2 linked regions of the Caenorhabditis elegans genome follow. The protein of the gene in region 2 interacts with the protein of the main gene of each other region in a biochemical or structural test. Each region holds a gene or a part of one and is shown on either strand. Other genes may lie near its edges. The genes, in order: dlg-1 and sru-39.

The links.
Region 1: the proteins of sru-39 (region 2) and dlg-1 form a complex in vitro, tested with the Caenorhabditis elegans proteins (one study listed by BioGRID).

Annotation. Positions count from the first base shown.
Region 1 is NC_003284.9:5,476,132-5,488,511, forward strand, and holds dlg-1 (Disks large homolog 1), read left to right. Parts: upstream 1-3,568; 5' UTR 3,569-3,629; coding exon 3,630-3,651; intron 3,652-3,860; exon of another isoform or gene 3,861-3,971; intron 3,972-4,087; exon of another isoform or gene 4,088-4,365; intron 4,366-4,533; coding exon 4,534-4,850; intron 4,851-4,926; coding exon 4,927-5,145; intron 5,146-5,192; coding exon 5,193-5,289; intron 5,290-5,336; coding exon 5,337-5,427; intron 5,428-5,480; coding exon 5,481-5,832; intron 5,833-5,888; coding exon 5,889-6,195; intron 6,196-6,253; coding exon 6,254-6,722; intron 6,723-6,780; coding exon 6,781-7,304; intron 7,305-7,387; coding exon 7,388-7,670; intron 7,671-7,717; coding exon 7,718-7,839; intron 7,840-7,894; coding exon 7,895-7,995; 3' UTR 7,996-8,810; downstream 8,811-12,380. Other genes in the region: C25F6.1 (Condensin-2 complex subunit H2), read left to right, coding at 10,365-10,522, 11,117-11,246, 11,298-11,561. UniProt on the Caenorhabditis elegans protein: Essential multidomain scaffolding protein required for normal development. Recruits channels, receptors and signaling molecules to discrete plasma membrane domains in polarized cells. Required for proper embryonic elongation.
Region 2 is NC_003283.11:9,800,036-9,808,151, reverse strand, and holds sru-39 (Serpentine Receptor, class T), read right to left. Parts: upstream 4,677-8,116; coding exon 4,236-4,676; intron 4,190-4,235; coding exon 4,031-4,189; intron 3,984-4,030; coding exon 3,880-3,983; intron 3,834-3,879; coding exon 3,545-3,833; downstream 1-3,544. Other genes in the region: sru-37 (Serpentine Receptor, class U), read right to left, coding at 1,552-1,852, 1,899-2,002, 2,048-2,203, 2,251-2,691; F46B6.10 (uncharacterized protein), read left to right, coding at 6,124-6,240, 6,316-6,437, 6,545-6,689.

The sequences.
Region 1 (12,380 bases), on a different chromosome or scaffold from region 2:
TTTGAGGAGGTTTAACGTTTCAATCCGGAAACTAAAAACAAGTCAGCTGTTGGGGGTAAGTATAAATTGATTATTTTTGTGATGCAAGAAAACATGAGTGCAACTGAGCTTCTCTTCTTCTTCTAAATTTTACATTGAAAGTATATTTAACTCAATATTTCTACATTGAATTAGATATTTCAGACAAAAGCTAGACTTTCTGTGTTTTAAATGAAAATTGAAGCTGAGTTAAAAGTTTGAAATTTTTCAGTCAATATTCCAACTTCCATTTATTTATTATTCCAATTTTTCAATTTAATTATAATTTTTTCCAATTCAAATAGCAAAAAAACGCATCTCTTGTTATCTGTCGCTGCCAATGTTTCCCTCATGTTTTAATGATTAGTCGGGGTGGCTCTGTGTTGGCTCTCCGCACATGCCTGCCAGAACAGATAAGAGGTGATTGTAAGTCGGCCGTCGCGGGGGCTCTTAAAGCAACAACTAACGTCTGGCGCGTTTGAAAATGAGGACCGAGTGACCGGTCTATATGTTTTATTCAAATAAAACAATGGGCCGCATAATCCGCATGTTTTGTCCTTCTTCTTCTTCTTGATTTCGCACTCCGGGGCACAGTCGCTTCTCTTGCATAATTTTAGTGAGTGGGCGCCCCCTTGTTAGTGATCTCAAAAACCATGTCCTTGAAACATCTTCGGATTATCTAATCCTTTTTCTCTCTGCTGCGTTATATCTAAACCCTCTTGATGTTTCAGTTAATAATATTTTAATTAATTGACTCTTACAACTTTTCCTTTCACAAATCTAAATAAAACCCCTTCACTTTTTTCTCACATATTCCAAATGATTAGTCTAGGAAGTGCAAAGACCTGAAACCCCCTGCTGTTTTCGCGAATGATCTCCATTTTAGGAATGAGGGCGCAAAACTATTTGTCAGCTTAGAAAGTCCCCCACAGAGAATGAAAGATGCATAAGCATTTTCGTCTCTTCTTCTCCACGCACCAGCGCCTATGTCGGTCGTTATACAGTGAATACTATTCTATCTACATCTTACCCTCTATATTTTCACACGTTTTACATGTTATCAATAGAGCCGACTTGTCATGCACATCATGCATATACATATATAATTTTCTCTTCCCTTCTTTCCTTCATTGTATCAAGTGTGTCATTTTGAAAGAAAAAATCATTTTGAAAGGTAAGAGTTGCCAGTCTCATTAGTATAAAATGGTTGACTCATTTCCGTTTCTAATGACACTTGATCTCCAACACTGTGTCGCATTTTCATCGTACTGATTGTTTGTCATGATAATATTTGTTGAGAAACTATTATCTTGCGGCAGCCAAAACCAGCACCCTTGCTTTTCCGCTCCTTTTCCTTCTGCTTCTTCTTCTTATTCTGCTTCTTCGTATTGAGGGGCCTCCGATTTTATGGCCATTACAAGCAAAACCACGACGCTCACATATAAGCAGTGAGATGGCCGTTCGATTCTCATACCGTTCGTTTTCTCGTTTCCTCGTTTTTATCAATCGATTTGCAGTGATTTTTTACCTGGCTCTTCTTTTTTTTCCTCTCTCACTGCGTTTTCCCAATGTGTCCCATGATCGGTTGTTGATTCGATTCAGTTCTGTATTTGTCTATCTATCGATGTTCTAACATTCTAGTTGCACTGTTACTTCTATGGAATGTATTAGTGTGTTTCCCTTTTTTACTAAACATCTGTACATTGTTGTTTAGATGTCGTGAGATCGCAAGTGTATGTTTTTTTGGAAACTTTATGAACTCTTTTGTACGGTTATTTTTGTGCAATATATGAGTCACTTTGCAAACATTCTTTGATGCTGATATTTTTATCAGTAATAATAAAATCAAGAAACTAAGGTATGGGTATATTTTAGACGTTTTGTGTTCCCATTTTAGTCATAAAATCCCAAAAGTACATAAAATCGCTACAGTCAAGGCGCACTAAAAAAACCTTTTTAAAAAAATAGAAAAAAATATGACTTTTTTAATTCCATATTTCGAAATAGTAGTAGAGTATTCGCCTCGCCACAACTTTTTTGGCGCATTTGTTCCCGGCATGTTTTTGGTACAATAGACGACGTTCGCTATCTTCTTCCCGCATGTCGTGACTAATGTCCCGTTGGCTTGTACATGTTGAATATAATTTCACACACACACACACACACACACACAGCGTGACGCATAAGTTAGTGTTGTTTTTTCTATGCTGGCCGGGTCTGTTCCACTTCTCATCTTGACCATTTATGTTTCGACACTGTGATTTGTTTCAAGTCGACTTGTTCCTGTTTTTTGTTCAGTTCTTTGGAAATCAAGTGGCTATTGAAATATATTTTTTGTGAACTCAAATTTGCAGACGTGTCTGTGACCATTAATTTCAAACTATACAATTTTATGGCATTATTTTCTAATAAAACCCCCATTTTGTTTAGATAAAATTGTTAGTGTTCTAATGAAACATACATTTTAGAGCGAAGATAATTTTAACTATTTAACTTAAAGAGACGTGATGGGGTGGTAACAATTTAAAATTTCTGGCTTGTATATATTTTTGGCATCTGTGATAAAGACAAATTGTAGGAATATGTTAATTTAAATAAACTTAATCCAAAATTTTTGGATTTATTTTTCAGGACTCATTATGAAACCTTCCAGGGAGCCAAAACCCTCCGAACTTAATCTCCTTTATTTAAATTCAGAATTTTACAAAATATCCAAAGATAAAAATACCTAATAATAGTTTACTAATTTTTGAATTAGATGACAACCTTTCAAAACAATCGACTCCCCGCTCCTCCTACCAGGTCCCTCTCCGATGGTGCGGTTTGTCGCCTCGCGTCTATAATAAAACCACCGGCGGAGGTGGTTGGTGTCCAATAAACGTTGAAGACCCCCACCGTTTATACCCAAACGCCCTTCTTTTTTACCTCTTCTTCTACTCAAGCATATCTATCAGATCTCTCACACACAGTCTTCCCTTCTGGTAGATACTAATCTAGAGTAAGATGCGACCCGCCCGGAGGAAGACGAGAGGAATATTTATATTTTTCCCCCTCATCCAACCTACTGAATCATACCAATAGTTGGTGGGAATTGCCGAACAAAAAATAAACATATCCATGACTCGACACAAGTGAAATGCGAAACCTAGCGTCTTCCATCTTCTATGTACGGGATATCCTTCTATTTTTCTATCCACGATGGATTATGATTTATGAATCTTCCTAGATTTTTCAAAAAATTTCATTTACTCCTTCCCCTGCTCGTTTTGCTCTGCATCTTGTTTCTATTATTTACATCAAGTTCGCTAAAACAAACTCAATGGCGGCCTGCTTGTGTGTATGTGTGTGTGTGTGTGCGTGTGTTTGCCGTAAATTCTTGTTTCTTTCTGATAAGTTATGTCTTATCGCCGCACAGTTTTTCCTTTTCGTCTTCAATGCCTCCTTCTTACCGAGCTCTGTTTTTAGATTATTAGAAGCATTAAAACCAGTCGTCTATTTCTATTTTCAGTCTCAAAAACTTGTTGATCAATTTAATTTTTTCAATTTTCAGCGACCAGCATCGAAAGAAAACCGATCGGAGTGGGAAGAACGCCTCACCGAAGGAAGGAAGCATGTCCCACGAGTCATCGGAAAGTGAGTTCTAGACATTTAAGTTTCAAACTGTTTCTATTTTGCAAAACGTTCAATGTCCACTAATCTCAATTGTTTGCCACAGTTTTCTCCTAACCAATTATCACCGAACCCATTTCCTACGGTCGCCGTGGTCGTTAAACTCAATGTCACAATGACCAGAATTAGCCAAGGCAACACACCAACTTATGTACATTCTTGCGTTTTCTACGCTCCCCCTTTCCCTGCCTTCTTATGACTTCAATGCGATGATCGCATCTCAACAGTCTTCTTATCACCTCGAAACTGCCAAATACGGCCACCCCGCCTCATGAGGTATTGTGGTGTTGACACTTACACATTTCGATACACATACACATATACGTAATAATTTTGCTATATACGTTTTCGAAAAGTTCACACTACTCGGAGCCTCCTCCTCCTCCCCGCCAGGTGAATGCTTTCTGGCGCGCATGATGGTGAGGATGCGTCTCTGAATGTGCAAACATTATATTTGTATAAGAAGGCGAAGAAGACGCAGTGGGAGGAATAGAAGGCAAAAAGAAAGAGGGCAAAGAGAAAACAATCTGTTTGTGATGGTGTGTGTACGTGTCCGACAGTCCAACCAGGAGTCTCCCCTTTATTCATCGGAGACATCTTTCCGGGGCCAGTCTTGTACATTCCGAAGGGAAAGGGGAGAAAGGAGGGAAAACGAGGGAGATTGCGCATCCTCGCAGGGTGACTCATCGTTATTTGCCGGGATGGGAAAGAAAGCGCATGATAACCTTTTTTGTTGACCATGTTTTGCCGCAAAATGAGTCATCAACCTAGACTTGTTACACTTTGCGACTTGGGATGTGCATAATCCTACAACAATTATAACTGAACATGAAACTGTATTTTCAGAAGCGCATAAAGCGATAGAAAATGTGGAGGACTACTGCCAGACACTGACAAGACACGGCAATGAGGAGCTACGCACAAACCTGGAACGAGTTATCACCACATTCAAATCAAACCTGATGCATTCGTTGCTCGACATTCACGATCTGTACGAGCAGACGCTGCTCAGCGAGCGAAAATCAGATGCAGAGAAAAATATGGAAGTAAGGCGTGTGATTGAGCGACTCGAAGGTGGACCACACTCCTACAACAGTCGTCCGGCTGCGACGACTTCCACGTCGAACTACAACCTTTCAAGCACAACTCCACTTATTTCAGATGTAAGCTCTGCTTTCTTTTTTTCTCTGGATTTGGATTCTAGATTTTTTTAATACTTTATAAAAAAAATTATTTTAGCTGAGAGATCGGGGAGGTTTCTCGTATTTGAACGGCGGAGGCCTTGGAAACGGGCTTGGGAATGGACTTGGAAACGGACTTCTGTCTTCTCCGTACAACTCATCCAGCACTCACTACCTTCATGAGCGTCAACGTCAGACCAGTCATGATGGAACATGGCGGGAAACAACCACAAGAACAGTTGACACTCCAAGTGGTCTTGAAAGACGTGTGGTTGAAGTAAGATAATTTTGGCTCAATATTAGTTTTAATTATCATATATTCAGCATACTGGAGTTATCGATGATCATGGTCGTAAATGGGAGCTTGAGAATATTGTCTTGGAGAAAGGTCACACCGGCCTTGGATTCTCGATTACTGGAGGTATGCGCGTTCAACCGGTATTTATGATGTAACATATCTGATTATAGGTATGGACCAACCAACAGAAGACGGAGATACTTCTATCTATGTCACCAATATTATTGAAGGAGGTGCCGCACTTGCTGATGGGCGTATGAGGTAAAAAACCGCAATTTAAGATGAACAGAACTTTATGGTCATGTTTTTTTTAGAAAGAATGATATTATCACTGCAGTCAACAATACAAACTGTGAAAATGTGAAGCATGAGGTTGCAGTCAACGCATTGAAAAGCTCCGGAAACGTTGTTTCGTTGAGTTTGAAACGGCGTAAAGATGAAGCCTTTCTTCCAATTGGAGGAAACTTTGGCGGGTCGACTTCTTACCTCAGATCAGGAGTCACTCCATCAGTGAGCGCCGGCAACTTGCAACACGCAATTCATTCTCCATCGGCTCCGATTCATCCACCACCGCCACCACCAGTTCATCACGGATCATTGAGCCAATTATCTGTTGGCCAATATCGTTCCACACGACCGAATACATCCGTCATTGATCTGGTTAAGGTTGGCGACATTTTCTCTTTCCAAAGTACAAAAGAATCTATGTGAACTTTTTTTAGGGAGCACGTGGACTTGGTTTCTCTATTGCTGGTGGTCAAGGAAACGAGCACGTTAAAGGAGATACCGATATCTATGTGACGAAAATCATTGAGGAGGGAGCAGCTGAATTAGACGGAAGATTAAGAGTCGGAGATAAGATTCTTGAAGTTGATCATCACTCTTTGATTAACACGACTCATGAAAATGCGGTCAATGTTCTCAAAAACACTGGAAATCGTGTTCGACTTCTTATTCAGCAAGGAACTGGGGCAATTTTCAATGACTCGGCGAGCCAACAATTCATGCCAACTACCCCAATTCTCAGACGTAAGACAATCCCAAGAATCAAAAATAATAATATAGTTTCTAATTAATTTCATTTCAGCTAGCTCCGTTCAAGACTACAACCGCTCTCAAATGGGATCTCAAAGTCATTTGTCTTACGGAGGACCACTGAACACCAGCTACAGTTCACAAGCCCCCATCGCAATTCCACTCGAACCCCGTCCAGTACAACTTGTAAAGGGCCAAAATGGACTTGGATTCAACATTGTTGGCGGAGAAGACAATGAGCCCATCTACATCAGTTTTGTTCTCCCAGGAGGTGTTGCTGATCTTAGTGGAAACGTGAAGACTGGAGACGTTCTTCTTGAAGTGAACGGAGTTGTTTTGAGAAATGCAACCCATAAGGAAGCAGCTGAAGCATTGAGAAACGCTGGAAATCCCGTTTATCTCACTCTTCAGTACAGACCACAAGAGTATCAAATTTTTGAGTCCAAAATTGAGAAGCTGAGAAACGACGTGATTGCTCAATCTAGAATGGGAACTTTGAGCAGAAAGTCTGAATATGTTAGGTAAGAAGATTTGTTTACTTATAAATGTATACATATATCAACGAATAACATCTTTCAGAGCACTTTTCGATTATGATCCATCACGTGAAAACTCTGTTGCTCCCCATAGATCAATGGGATTTAACTATGGTGACATCCTACATATCATCAACTCATCTGACGATGAATGGTGGACAGCTAGAAAAGTTCACGAAAACGGAGAAGAAACAGCTGAAGGAGTGATTCCATCAAAGAAACGTGTCGAGAAGAGAGAACGACTTCGTCGGAAGCAAGTCAACTTCAACTCGGGATCGCAGTCTCTTGGAAGAAACTCGAGCACTACTGGATTGGAAAACCGAAGAGGAAGCCGCAGTCAGCTTTCCTTCTCCAGAAAGTTCCCATTCGTCAAAAGTACCGACCGGCTCAACGATCTTAATGAGGAATCCTCAAATGTAGCTGAAGAGCCAGTGTGGTCCTACCAGGCAGTTGAGCAACAGGCGATCAACTACGTTCGTCCAGTGATCATTCTTGGAGCTCTCAAAGACCGAATCAACGATGAACTTGTCAACCGCGACCCTTCGAAATTCAGTAGCTGCGTTCCACGTAAGTTGTGAAGTTATTAACTACTTTAAAAAAGAGAACATTTCTAAATAGTATGTGCAATATACTCATAATACCCTTTTCAGACACTTCCCGACCACCACGCGAGGGAGAGGTTAACGGACGTGACTACTACTTTGTCAACAAGCACAATATGGAGGAAGATGTCAAGAATAATCTCTTCATTGAAGCGGGACAATTCCAAAACAATCTCTACGGAACTAGCATTCAAAGCGTCCGAGATGTCGCCAACCAAGGAAGACACTGTATTCTGGACGTCAGTGGAAATGCTATCCGACGACTTCAAAGCAATGCCAATATTCAACCAATCTCGATCTTCATCAAGCCCAGCTCTGCACAACAGATTCTGTAAGTTAAATTGTAAAAAGAAGCTTTATCAATCTGCAAAATTTCAGTGAATTGGACAGCCAACTTGCCACCAACCGACAAGACGATCGAGCGATGAGTGGCGAAGAAGCTCAAGCGCAGTATTCCAGATGTCATAGAATTGAGCAAACTTTCGGGGATTTGTTCACGCGTATGTCTTTTTTCCAACCATTATTATCAAATATCTGATTTTTTATTTATTTCAGAAGAAATCTCAAATGTGCACAGCGCGAATGACGTTTTGAGCAAAGTGTACTCCATCATCAGCCGTGAATCGCAGACGCCAATTTGGGTGCCACGTCATTAGATGAAATTGGATATTTTTTAGACAAATAATCGTTTCTTCAAGAAATATGTCTTCTTGAAATTAATTAATATACAGTTTAATTTACCTTAATAATTAGACTACGCCGTGTTGTGATACTTTTTTTTAATCTGAGAAAAGTGATCCTTTGAAAAAACTCTTGATGTCATTTGCTTTATCCTGTTTCCATCCCCATCTTTATTTGTATTTTGTTTAGTACCCCTTCCCTATTATGCATTAATTTACATGACCTTTCCAAGTTCTCAATTCAAGAAACTCTACTACTCGAACTCAGAAACGTGAAAGGCCAATATTTCAATAGTTTTCTGATTCTTTTTTTCTTTTACCTTGCTCATTATTTTCATTTTCAATCATAACTCTCCACAATCACTGCCAGAAAACGGTGAATCGTTTCTACTTTTGTCTCCGAATATTTTACTACGATAGTTTGTACTGCCTGTTTTCTCTACAGCCCATTTTATCTTGAAATTCACCTTACAAATACTTGCATTTTATAATCCGCCCCAGCTTTCCTTCCTTCTTCCCTCTCCTTCCTCCCCCAACTCAATTCACTTCTTACTTGAAATTGTGACAGTTTGTGATATTCTCAACGCTTCATTTGTCTCTACTAACCGCAAATCATTATCATATTCCCGACTCTCTACTGATGAAAAACTTCGGCTCATTTCTATTTTTTGGGACTTTTATTACTCTGAGAGCATTTTATTTTCATCCATTGGTTCCAAACTTTTTTTTTTTAATTATTTTTAAAAACTTTTTATACAAATTATCTTGAATAAAGATTTTATTGCATCTGCAAAACATACATGTGTTGAAGTAACAAGAAAAAACTTTATTTTCAGTATATCAGGGTGTTCTGAAAATGACTGCGGCAATTTGTCATTAAAAATATTCATTTTATTAGATCGCTGGAAAAATTCCGAAACAAAAGGATTTGAAGTACTCTTCAGAATCCGTTTCGAAATGTGCTTCCGTAGCGCAGTAGGCAGCGCGTCAGTCTCATAATCTGAAGGTCGTGAGTTCGAGCCTCACCGGGAGCAATCTTTTTTGCCTAATATATTTCTTCGACTGAAATATTGTTCCTGATATTTTATTAGTCTTTCAATTAACGAAAAAAACATGTATTTTAAACGCAAAATAAGATTAGAATGATTTTAAAATATCAATAATATTTTAATTACTGACTATGAGTTAAATTTGAGATTTTTCAACTAGACTATTTACAGTTGTGATATTTTCAAATCCCTGTCCCACTTGGGATCTCAGTTTTTGCATCCTTTCTCAAGTCCTTTGTGAAGAGTTCACAACGTGCTTCCGTAGCGCAGTAGGCAGCGCGTCAGTCTCATAATCTGAAGGTCGTGAGTTCGAGCCTCACCGGGAGCAATTTTTTTTTTGAAGTTTTCCCAAGTAGCATAAGTTGCCATGAAGAAAACTGTAATTTTAATTTAATTTTTAATTTAACTGTTTAAATTCATTTTTTAATTTGAGTCAAAGCTAGCAATTTATTTTATCTCACATTTTGTTAATTTGAAACACAGACTGGCTCGAATTTAAGAACATTTTTTTATTCTTTTGATCCTACTTTGCAGACGTTGTTCAGTGCTTCCGTAGCGCAGTAGGCAGCGCGTCAGTCTCATAATCTGAAGGTCGTGAGTTCGAGCCTCACCGGGAGCAATCTTTTTTATTTTATTGATATCTTGATTTTAAATTTATGAATGTTTATAATTGTAGAATAGTTCCTCATTTTCTCATTTTTAATTTATTTTTACATAGCAAAGTTACTTGTTTTACTCTTTTCTGCCTCATTAAATGTGTTTCATTGTTTTTATGTTCACGCTTTAATTTTTCTGTAACAATAGTATGATATCGCTTACGGTTTAAATAACTTTAAAAGATTTCAGTTCTACCATAGTACCATTGAGATAAAATAAAGGGTAAAATAATTGAGCTAGGTCATGTCAGTGACCCCCTTTCATGCAATTTTTCGTGTGCGCGCACAAAACGCGTCAATAGGATGGTTGACGTCTTTTCCGTGTGAACGTGCGTGCTTTATGAACGTATTAAAGTTTATCGGATATTCTTAACTAGTTTCTCACAAATTTGTTTGCATTCCCAACTTGTATGACGGTTCTTTATTTTTTATTATTCGTTTTTTTTTTTTTGGAAAATGAGACAGTTAATTTTATTCTATTGTAATGTTTGTTTACTGGTTTACTAACTGAATTTCTTAGTGAAAATAATGTTTAATAAAAAGTTAAAATGAATAATGAATATCTCAAAATAATATAGTAGTTGTGTATATCTTCTTTGAATTCGTAAATACCTTCAAAAACAAATTTCCCAGATCAACCATGGCAAAAATGAAAATGACACAAGAGGAACTAGTGCAAGCATTTAATCAATACATGCCAAAACGACCGGTTTATCCTCCACTGGTTCACGATGATGACGTGCTCGCACATTCCGCCACAGAGTCGGAAGGAAGTGACGAAGAAGAGGATGATTTGACGTAATGTTTTATTTAGCTCATAATCCTTTAATAATAATTGTTCTGAACGTTCAAGAAATTTTCTAATTCCAAAATAACCAGTATGTGGAAGTATGTCCAAAATTGTGGTCCAAAAATGTGATATTAAATTTTCACTCTGTTAAAAATATTTGAACAAAAATTTATATGCGGTTGCAGGGAAAAAACAAAAATGTTTTTAAATAAAAAAAACTTTGGAAATGTTATATCCAAAAGGATGTTATAATAATACTTCAAACATTTTTAGGCTTCACAATGTGTTCAGTTAAAGTTTTTTAAACCAAAATTCTAAAAAAGGCTTCTTGAACAAGCTTTAAATGGCTCCCATCAAAAAATTAGTGGGATAAGAGCAGTTTTAACCAGAAAACGTTCATTGTATTATTTCACCAAGGCTAGACAGAAATTTTAAATTTTATTTGAAAACTTTGAAAAAGAAAATTTTAACTGTCATTTTTTGACCAAGTTTACATTCTTTAGTTGAAAAACGAAAAAAGAGGTGTTTTCCCAGAAATTTTTTCTAAACCATTTTGTATTGGAACTTGCCTACTTACACTAAAACAAACTTTATATTTTCAGAAAGCGATTGAAAGTGACTTTGGCATTTTCAACAGACATGATGTCAGAATGCCGCACAGCCTGGGAAGACTCAACTTGTAAACCACCGATTCAGTATCTCGAGGACAATATTCAAAAAGATGTTGAATATGTATGGTTAAAATATCATAAATAAAATACCATATCATTTTTCGATTTTCAGATACTCGAGAAACTGGTCAATCTGAAAATCAAGCCCAACAATCCAATTGAATGGCTTGGATACTGTCTTTTGAACATGAACATCAATGATCCTCGAAAATCAAAAGATCACAAAAATAAACCATCGGAATTGTTGCGAGACTTTAAAATCGAAGCGCTTGTCAATATGGTATGGAATATGGAGGAAGGTGGCTCAGGAAGCATTTCTACTTTGCACAAGCAGGCACCTAGTCCAACAGCTGGAAAACGAAGGAATCCTTCTTGATTTTGTAACGAAAATTAACAATTCACAAATAGGTGTCTAAAACTATACCCCATCAACTTGTTATGAACAAGAATTCCAGAAATTATCATTTTCGTTTTTTTTTGTTGTAAAATCTGAACATAACCATTCTTTCACAATCATTCACTTTTTATACTTTTTTCTTGTCCCGTGCATTACTCGCATCAAAATTCCTAGTCATCTTGAACTTTTGGAATTTATGTCCAGATTCCATTCCAAGTCTGGTGCATGTGCTTGGTTTTTTCCCCAAATTTTCATTTTGTGACCGTTTCCACAAACTGGTTATCTTTGCAACTTGCAAATCCGCCATTCCTCTGTGCATTGCACTCTTCTGTGCATAAATATGTGTATCTATTTATCAATTTGAATAATGAACTTTTCCAGAAATTGTTACAGAAATTCCTGAAATATGTTTGAAATGGCAAGGCATTGTAATTGATTAAAGGCACAGTATCATCTGTGAGTTTTTAGTCTATTTAAACAAAATATTTACTAACTCTACTCTCCTAACTTATGTAAAATGTGAAAAATTAAAATTTATAAGACTTTTTAATGATGGAGTAGCGCTAGTGGGAAAAGTGTTTGAAACTACTATGATGCCAAATGACCAAACATATCAGTAAAACTTTAAAGTAAATTTTAAAAAATTATTATTTACTGTCAAAAAATAACAATTACTCAGTTTTGGCAACTCATAATTTTGGAAGTCGACCAAAAAATTTTTTTTTCAATAATTTTTATACTTCAAATTTCTTTGATTGTTTGTGTTTAAATATTCTAGGGGCCGGAACATGAAATTAC
Region 2 (8,116 bases):
TTGTGTTGCATCCATTCTATTTTCACTCGCATTAACATTGTTATAAGCACTCCGCAGAAGGGTGAGTCTAATTATTGAAACCAAAAAGGGGAGAATCAAAATACAGTAGTTCAAAAAATCGGCCACCAATATAAGCAGTGTGAATGAATAATTTGGTTGCAACTTCGCACACCAAGAAGTGATCAATCCAGAAGATGGTAGGTTGAAACGAAATAGATCCGAAAAGAAAAAAGCAATATTCTAAAATGTAGAAATTGCTCGAGGAAGCGAAATAATTGAAACCTACCGTTATGAAATAGCACATCAACAATGAGAATAAATGCCCATCAAGTGTTAATTTAGTAAGATTTGCGGGTTGAGTTTGATAGCCTTTGAATATTTTCCACATTACTACAATTGTTGGAACGATGTAACAAAATGGTGCAATTGGAAAAAGTAGAGAAAAATTGAGTTCAAACTCGAAATTGATATAAATCAAATTTCCGTGTATTGAATCTTTCGCGCTCGATTCGCTCATTATCCTGAAAAAAAAATCAAAAATAATTATTATTTAATGTGAAAAGAAAAGCTCCCCTTAGAAAAACTCTACCTCCCTAAAAATTTAAGAGCAAGCGAAAAGAAAGAAAGTCGTAAATATCAGAACGCGAGAAAACAGGGGGTCTGAAGAAATAAATTGCTTACGGATTTAGTTTTTAATTAAAGAGAATGTATCGGAAAAGTAGCAGGTTTTTGTTTTCAAGAAAACTTAAAATCCCAAAAAGTAAGGTAGTATGTTATTCAAATTTAAAATGATACCAACAACATATAAGATGATTTATAGGCACCTAATTAGATAATATTTTGCAAGAATTCAAAGCTTGTTAGTGAAAAAAAAAACCCGGCTTTAAAAATTCGGAATTACAAAGTTTTGTTTGAAAAAATGGAACTCCGAAAATGAAATATTTTTTTAAAACTTTTTTTTTAACTTCATAATCCTTTAAAAATATAAGTTTAATAATAGGTCAAATGGAAATAAAAACATTGTTAATATGGAATTTTTTAATTATGGTTACCCTACATTTTGTGTGTACATAAAAATCCAGTACGTGTTAGTGGCATTTCGTGAATTCAAAATCATGGCTGTACTGCTTCTAGAGATCATTAAAAATTTAAAAAAAACGTTGATTTTCAGCTGAATTGAAATATTGCCAATCGAATCACGAGACACATCTTTTAGGCTCACAGAAAAATAACGAAGAAAAAAGAAAAGAAATGTGCAGGTGAATTTGTTTTCAGTGACTATTAGATTCAATATATTGTTACCAATTTGAATCAACTTACACGATTTTAACGAAAATTTGACAATATTTTGAGAAAACGGTGAGTTCTGGAAATGATCACAACATACACATGATACCACAAAATAATGCTTTCCGGAAAGATAAACTTTTTTCTGTGAAAATTTTTTAATTTGATTATGAAAAGATTGCGACAAAAAAGTTCTATAAAATATCAATTTGTAAATTAGAAAATGTGTTTCACTCTCTTCAAAAAATTAAATATTTATTCAAATTAAAAATGTGCAGAGATGCTTCGTTTTGGACTAACATCACATACAACTTTGATATTATTTTTAGGTTGCTCTTTCTTTTTGAAAATGTGGTGGGTAAAATAAAAATAACATGATACAAAATGGGCCCGAGCATCTAAACAAATGCACCGAGAGAGAAAAATATAAGGATAAGCACTTGGTGCAAAAAGATTGACAAAGGATAGAGTTGCAGGTACCACGACTGGGAGAAGAATCAGAATCATTGTTGCTGTCAACACTTTTTCAGATTTTAGATCTGTTTTTCGGTGTAGCTCGGAACTTCTGAAATTTTAAAATTTTAACTTGAGCAAATGCAATTGACACTAACATTTTCCGTTTTTGCAAAAGTTTGAAGAACATCAAAATTGCAGTGACAATAATTAAAATAATCGAAGCGTTTGAAAACATTGAGTAGAATATTGTGTAAATTCTCTGAAAAATTTATAATTTAAGCGTTTTATCAAATCAAATGCTTACCATATCTCTTGTCAATGCCGTGATAACAATAGCTCCAAACGGAAAAGGTTTGTCCATTTGATAGCAGGAAGTTGTGGAAAAGAAATGAGGAATTCCGAAGCAATGACCAATTATTATAAGACTTGGAGCGATTATGTCAAACACCTTGGATATTGTCTAAATGTCTTTTTATTATTTTTAAAAATGGACCGTGCAAAACATACATCCTTTTGATACTCAGCAGCATACAAAAGTGCAACTCTTTGAACACAAAATGCCAGAGTCATTAAATGAGATGTATAAACAACTCCAATAAATAGTAAAGATAATATTTTAAGAATTAATACAGGTTTTGACTCTGCACAATACGCTGTGAAAATCGATGTCAATGGAATTCGAACAATTAAAAAATCAATGAAAACATGAAATTCTTTCCACAGTTGCATCAAAAGAAATATTCTAAAAACATCCGGTCTCAATACTTTTTTCATTTCGTTGCAATGTTTATGTTTCAAATAGAAAATACACATTTTCACAGTGATCCAAAACGAAAAAATACCGTAGATAGCTGTGACAGCAGCAAAAATAGTCAAAAAATTGAATGTGTATTCAAAATTGAAATATTCCGGTTGAAAATCGATCGCCTTAAATCCATAGACAGACATCTCAAAAATAGATCACCGAACAATAACACCAGGATAGAAAAGAATTGGGGAGGAATTGTTTTGGAGCCAATTCAAAAGTTAATTTACTGATTTTTGTGTTATTCTTTAACAAATATGGCATCAATAATCACCAAATAATATAACTCTAATTTATGGAGCAGACATAAATACTTTATGGAAAACTTGATTTAATTATGACTCATTTGAAAACTTCCAAAACAAAGAAATGACAAATCAAGCAAGAAGTGGGCATTGGGATCTTATACGCCTACACAGATATGATACTGAAAAAAGTATACAGGTTCCAAATTGTTTGTAGTTGCTTTAAAATTGATAATGAATAAATGTTCAAAGCAAGCAGTCTAGTGACTCTCGACTTTGATTTTACTTAACTTTGATTTTCAAATAGTCACGTTTGGTTATAATTGTTTCTTTGAATTTTCAAAAATTTGTTAGATGAAAAACCATGTATTCCAGGAGATCCTGAATGCTCACTCTACCTTTTGCAGCCAAAAGGCAAGACTTTCTGACTATCCTGCGAGTTTTCATGAAAATTTATTTTCCTTTAATGGTGTTCATTGAACAATATATATTACACGAATTGCGGTAAATTGCTTAGCAAGCAATGCGTTCCATGAAGTAAAGTTTTGAAACGTTTCCCCGAAAACTTAAAGAAAAAAATTGGACAACGTTTTTAACTTTTTCACTTCACTTTTTGTGATATGAATGCACTATAAAAACTAGTATCCAGAAAATTATTATCACATTAAAAACTTGTGCTTTGAAATTTTTGAACCCAAAAAAAATATTTTTTCATCCGAAAAAAGACAAATTCAAAATAATTTATTACACATTAAAAATATGTTGACACTGTTCGAATAGTGCTGTCGTTTCGAATTTTAGTACTACGGTTTTTCTTTTTAAAAATGTAATGCGTATAATAGAAATAACAAGAAACAATATGAGCTCGGACATCCAATGCAATGCAACGCAGGAGAAACATATAAGCATATAAATTTGAAGAAAAAAGATTTGCAATTGACAGAATTGATGGAACCACAACAGGGAGAAGAATTAGAATCATTGTAGCTGTTAATACTTTTTCTGATTTTAAATCTACTGGTCGGCGCAACTCGGAAGTTCTGGAAAAGTTTTGTGTAAAATTTATTATAAGGAATTTTAACTTACATCTTCCGTTTATGATACAGCTTTACAAACATCATGATTGTCAATATAATCGTCAGTGTTATATTTGTATTAGAAAAAATTGAGTAAATAATAGTGTAAGTTTTCTGAAAAAATACTTGCATTACGATTAACTTTTGGATTTTCTATGAACCACCATATCCCGGCGTAGAGCTGTGATTACAATTGCTCCAAATGGAAATGGTTCGTCCATTTGATAACAAGAGCTTGATGCAAAAAAGAACGGTATTCCAAAACCATGCCCAACAAATATAATGAGAGGGTTGACAATATCAAATATTTTTGCAATTTTCTGAAAATGAAATGAATTAACACTAGAGGTTCATGAGTTGACATACATCTTTGTGATATTCATGAGCATATAATAATGCAACTCTCTGAATGCAAAACGCAAGAGTTAATGAATGAGATGTATATACAACTCCTGTGAACATCAATGATAATATTTTTAAAAGTAGAACTGGCTTCGATTGATAGCAATAACTGGTAAATAATGATGTAAGTGGAATTCGAACTATCAGAAAATCCATCAAAACATGAAATTCTTTCCATACTTGCATCAAAAGAAACAATCGAAAAACATCAAGACGAAGTCCTCTTTTCACTTCTTCGTTATTTTTATTGTTCAAATAAAAAATGCACATTTTTAGTGTAATCCAAAACGAAAACAGTGTATATGTACAAGTGACTGCTGCGAAAACAGTCCAAACATTGAATGAATATGTAAAATTGGAATATTCAGTCTTATTATCAATTGGTATATGTCCATAAACAGACATGTTGGAAGTTATTCGAAGAATGAAAAGTGTGGTTGACGTATGTCTACTGAAAGTAGGCGCTTTAATTGCCAGCTATTCATAAAATTTCATTGAGCAGTACGTGTATTGGCAAAAGATCAATTTTTAAACTTGCATCTTTTATACTTACATATATACCGGATTATTTAGGTGCTAAGGTCATGTATTTCGGGAAATTCGTAGTACATGCGAAAGATGTGAAAAAGTGTAAAATAAGAAGTCTTGTCTGGTCTCCTGTTTCTGGAATGTGGATAATAGCAGAAAATGAGTGAAATTGAATTCACTTATAAGAATTAAAAGTGTTTACGCGTTTTTATTCAAGTGACGAATGATTGTTCCTGGTAAATGAAATTATGGACTAGCAAAGCAAGTATTTCAGCTGAATATTCGACAGCCAGTTGGAGCCTTCGATATTTGAAAGAAAACCTTAATAATTGGTGACCGCAAAAATTAACTGCAGAAGAGTTTGCTTTTTTGGAACATCGGAAAAAAAAGTTTTTCATCAGAATCAATTATTGTCGATTTTCGATTGCAAGATATTCTAAAAGATTAGCAACAGTTTGAGGTGTTTTCTAGAATTTTTATATTTCGAAAAAACCTAAATTTTTAAATAGAATTCGGCGAACAAAGTTTCAGATTTTTTCAACATAGCTCAAAACGCTCTTTCGCAGGTTTTTGGTAAGTGATTTCAATGGTTTTTCCTTCAAATAACTAGTTTTTTTCTGGATTTTCATGTTTAAACTAAAGTACTATTCTTGTTTAAAAAACATTTGGGTACAAATATATTGGTAAACTAATGCGACGCCCCAACAAATAATGTTTTTTCCTGCAGAGACAAACAAGTCTGCAAAAAATAAGTTTTTGGGTGCGTTGCTCTAATCTGCGAATCAAATGATTTTTAGTTTGAAGGAAATGCCAGTTGAGTAGAAAATTTCAGACGCAAAAGAAATGGGGAAAAATCGCATGAAAAAATTATACAAAATAAACTATCATATTTCTGACATCTTTCAATGCTTGAGCAAAACGAAAAGAATGATCAGTTGAACTTTTGTGGCCTTCTTGGTCTTCTTAGTCTGACCCAAGTTTGGTTTCTTTCCGCTTGAATTCAGCATTTTCACTTTTTCGATATTGTTTCATTCACAACTTGATGAAGAGTGGTACGAATTAATTATTCTAATGATCAAAAATTGAATTTCTCAGAACTTCTGGAATGTAAATATTTTACGAAAAAAATTATTCTTTTAATGATTGAAAAAATAATTCGCGTAGACATCTGGTCTCTATTTTTTTTTAACTTTGAATCGCGTTTTTCTAAAGTTTGTTTACCGCTAATTAGAACAACGTTTAAAAATGATAAGGTCAATTTATACTAGAAAAATTATTTCTACTTTCTTCATCTGGTCAAGCATACAATTCAACTGTCAACATAATGATCATTATAATTGTTATTTCGATGCTTTTTGCAATATCATGTAATAGCTTTCTCGTTTTTTGTGCAAAATTGAAGAAGGACAAGAAGGCTACTTTAGAGGAAGTCACTCCACGGGTAATTCAATATTGTTTCATAGTTTAGAACTTGAACTTCGCAATTGAATAATTGATAATACCATCCAAATTTCAGGGAACCACACCGCTACCGCAATGTTCAAGACAATCGAGGATTGTTGACAGGGATGACAGAGGTTCAACAAAAACGAAAGGAGGTCGGAGAGGAGTCAAAAGCAGTAAAGAACCAGATTCCACGTGAGTTTTCTGCATTTTTGGGGTGATTGGATAGGCATAAAATGTTGTCACAACTTGTTTTTCTTTCGACTTTACTTGAAATAATTTTTTTAAAGATCATTTTTCAGGGATGATGCTTTCAAAGAAATGGCAAAGCGTTTAGCGAAGAAGGATAAACCTGAGAAAACTGGAGATTCAATTGTTGGAGATGACGACGAAAACCCTCTTGCACAGTTCCAGATGCCTGAACGACCAGTTGTCCCACCAAATTAGGATGGTGCAACATTGGAGAACATTGTTGAGATGGAGAAGAAGCCTGTCTCAAAACAACCAACGATTCGAGCTGTAACTCCATCAGGTGGCCCGAAGACTGCACAGGCGATTTCAGTTGCTCAACCGCCTCCTATTCTTCAAAAGTCCCAGAAATCCATTATCCCCAAGAAAGAAAAAACAATAACCACTGATAAGACGCAATCTGATCCACGTGCCAGAGAGATTGAGAGCACTCAGCATGTGACCAATATGACACTTGAAGATGCAATCGATACTGGGAAAAACGAAAAGGAACCTGCAAAATCCGTGGTAATTTTTTTTAACTGTAAAAGTAGTATACAGTGCGTGCAACTTCTATAGCGCCCCCTATTTTTTTCGTGTTTCGTCACTTTCCCAAACTTTTTTGAGAAAACCATTATAGCCATTCGATTTTAAATGTCAAAAAACCCCCTGCCCGAAATTTTCATGAAAAAATATCAAAGACTACGGTAATTAGGTCAAAAAGTCTGAAAAACGACCGTGCAACTTCTATAGCGCTCCCTCGAATTTTCGCTATTTTTCAATAAAATACCTAGTTTTATGAGATTTCTGAAAAGGATATAGTATTATATATTAAGAAAAATGATCATAAGGTTTCATTTTTCAATTTTCAACAGAAATATATTACGTGAAAACTTCTGGGATCCCAAGAGTGGCCTGAAACGCTTCACTTTGCGTTAGTGGCCAGTTCTCGGCTACCACTGCATGTATTGATACGAAACTTGACCGAAATTTTCATTTTGATTTACTGATAATGTTTCAATAAGTTGTCATAAAATTTGGTCAATATGGGCCAGGTTGACAGACCAAGTTAATAGTAAGTCTAGTAACCAATCAGTTGTTCTATCGATAAAACACATCTGAGGCATGTCAGAGAATGGATGTGCGTCTTTTCTGGTAGACAAGATATCCATTCAATTAACTATTTAAAACAAATTTTGTCCGGATCGAAAAATGTTGGAAAATGATCGGTAAAATTCGAGAAATATCCCTCAAACAAATTAACATGTGCAGAAACACTGGGCGGGTCTGTTTCCCGTGGTTCCGCGCGTTTCATTCGAGATCGAACGACAAAAGAACTGTCGAAGTGTTCAGAGGGGTCACAGAACTTGCATCCGAACTTAATATTTCAAAGTGTTTGTTAAAAACTAAAAATTCACCCAAAAACCTGCGGGCAGTGAACTTGCCCAGTTTTGATGTATGTGCAATTTTTTTAAAGGAGATCTCCTGCATTGGACCAATCATTTTTCAAAAGTTTTTTGTTCGAATAACACTTATAAAAATTTCAACAATGAATATGAAGCTTTTCTACTAGAAATGAACCGCGTCCAATCTCTGGCACGTCGCAAAATTCTGTTCTAGAGAGAAAAACTGATTTCCTCACAATG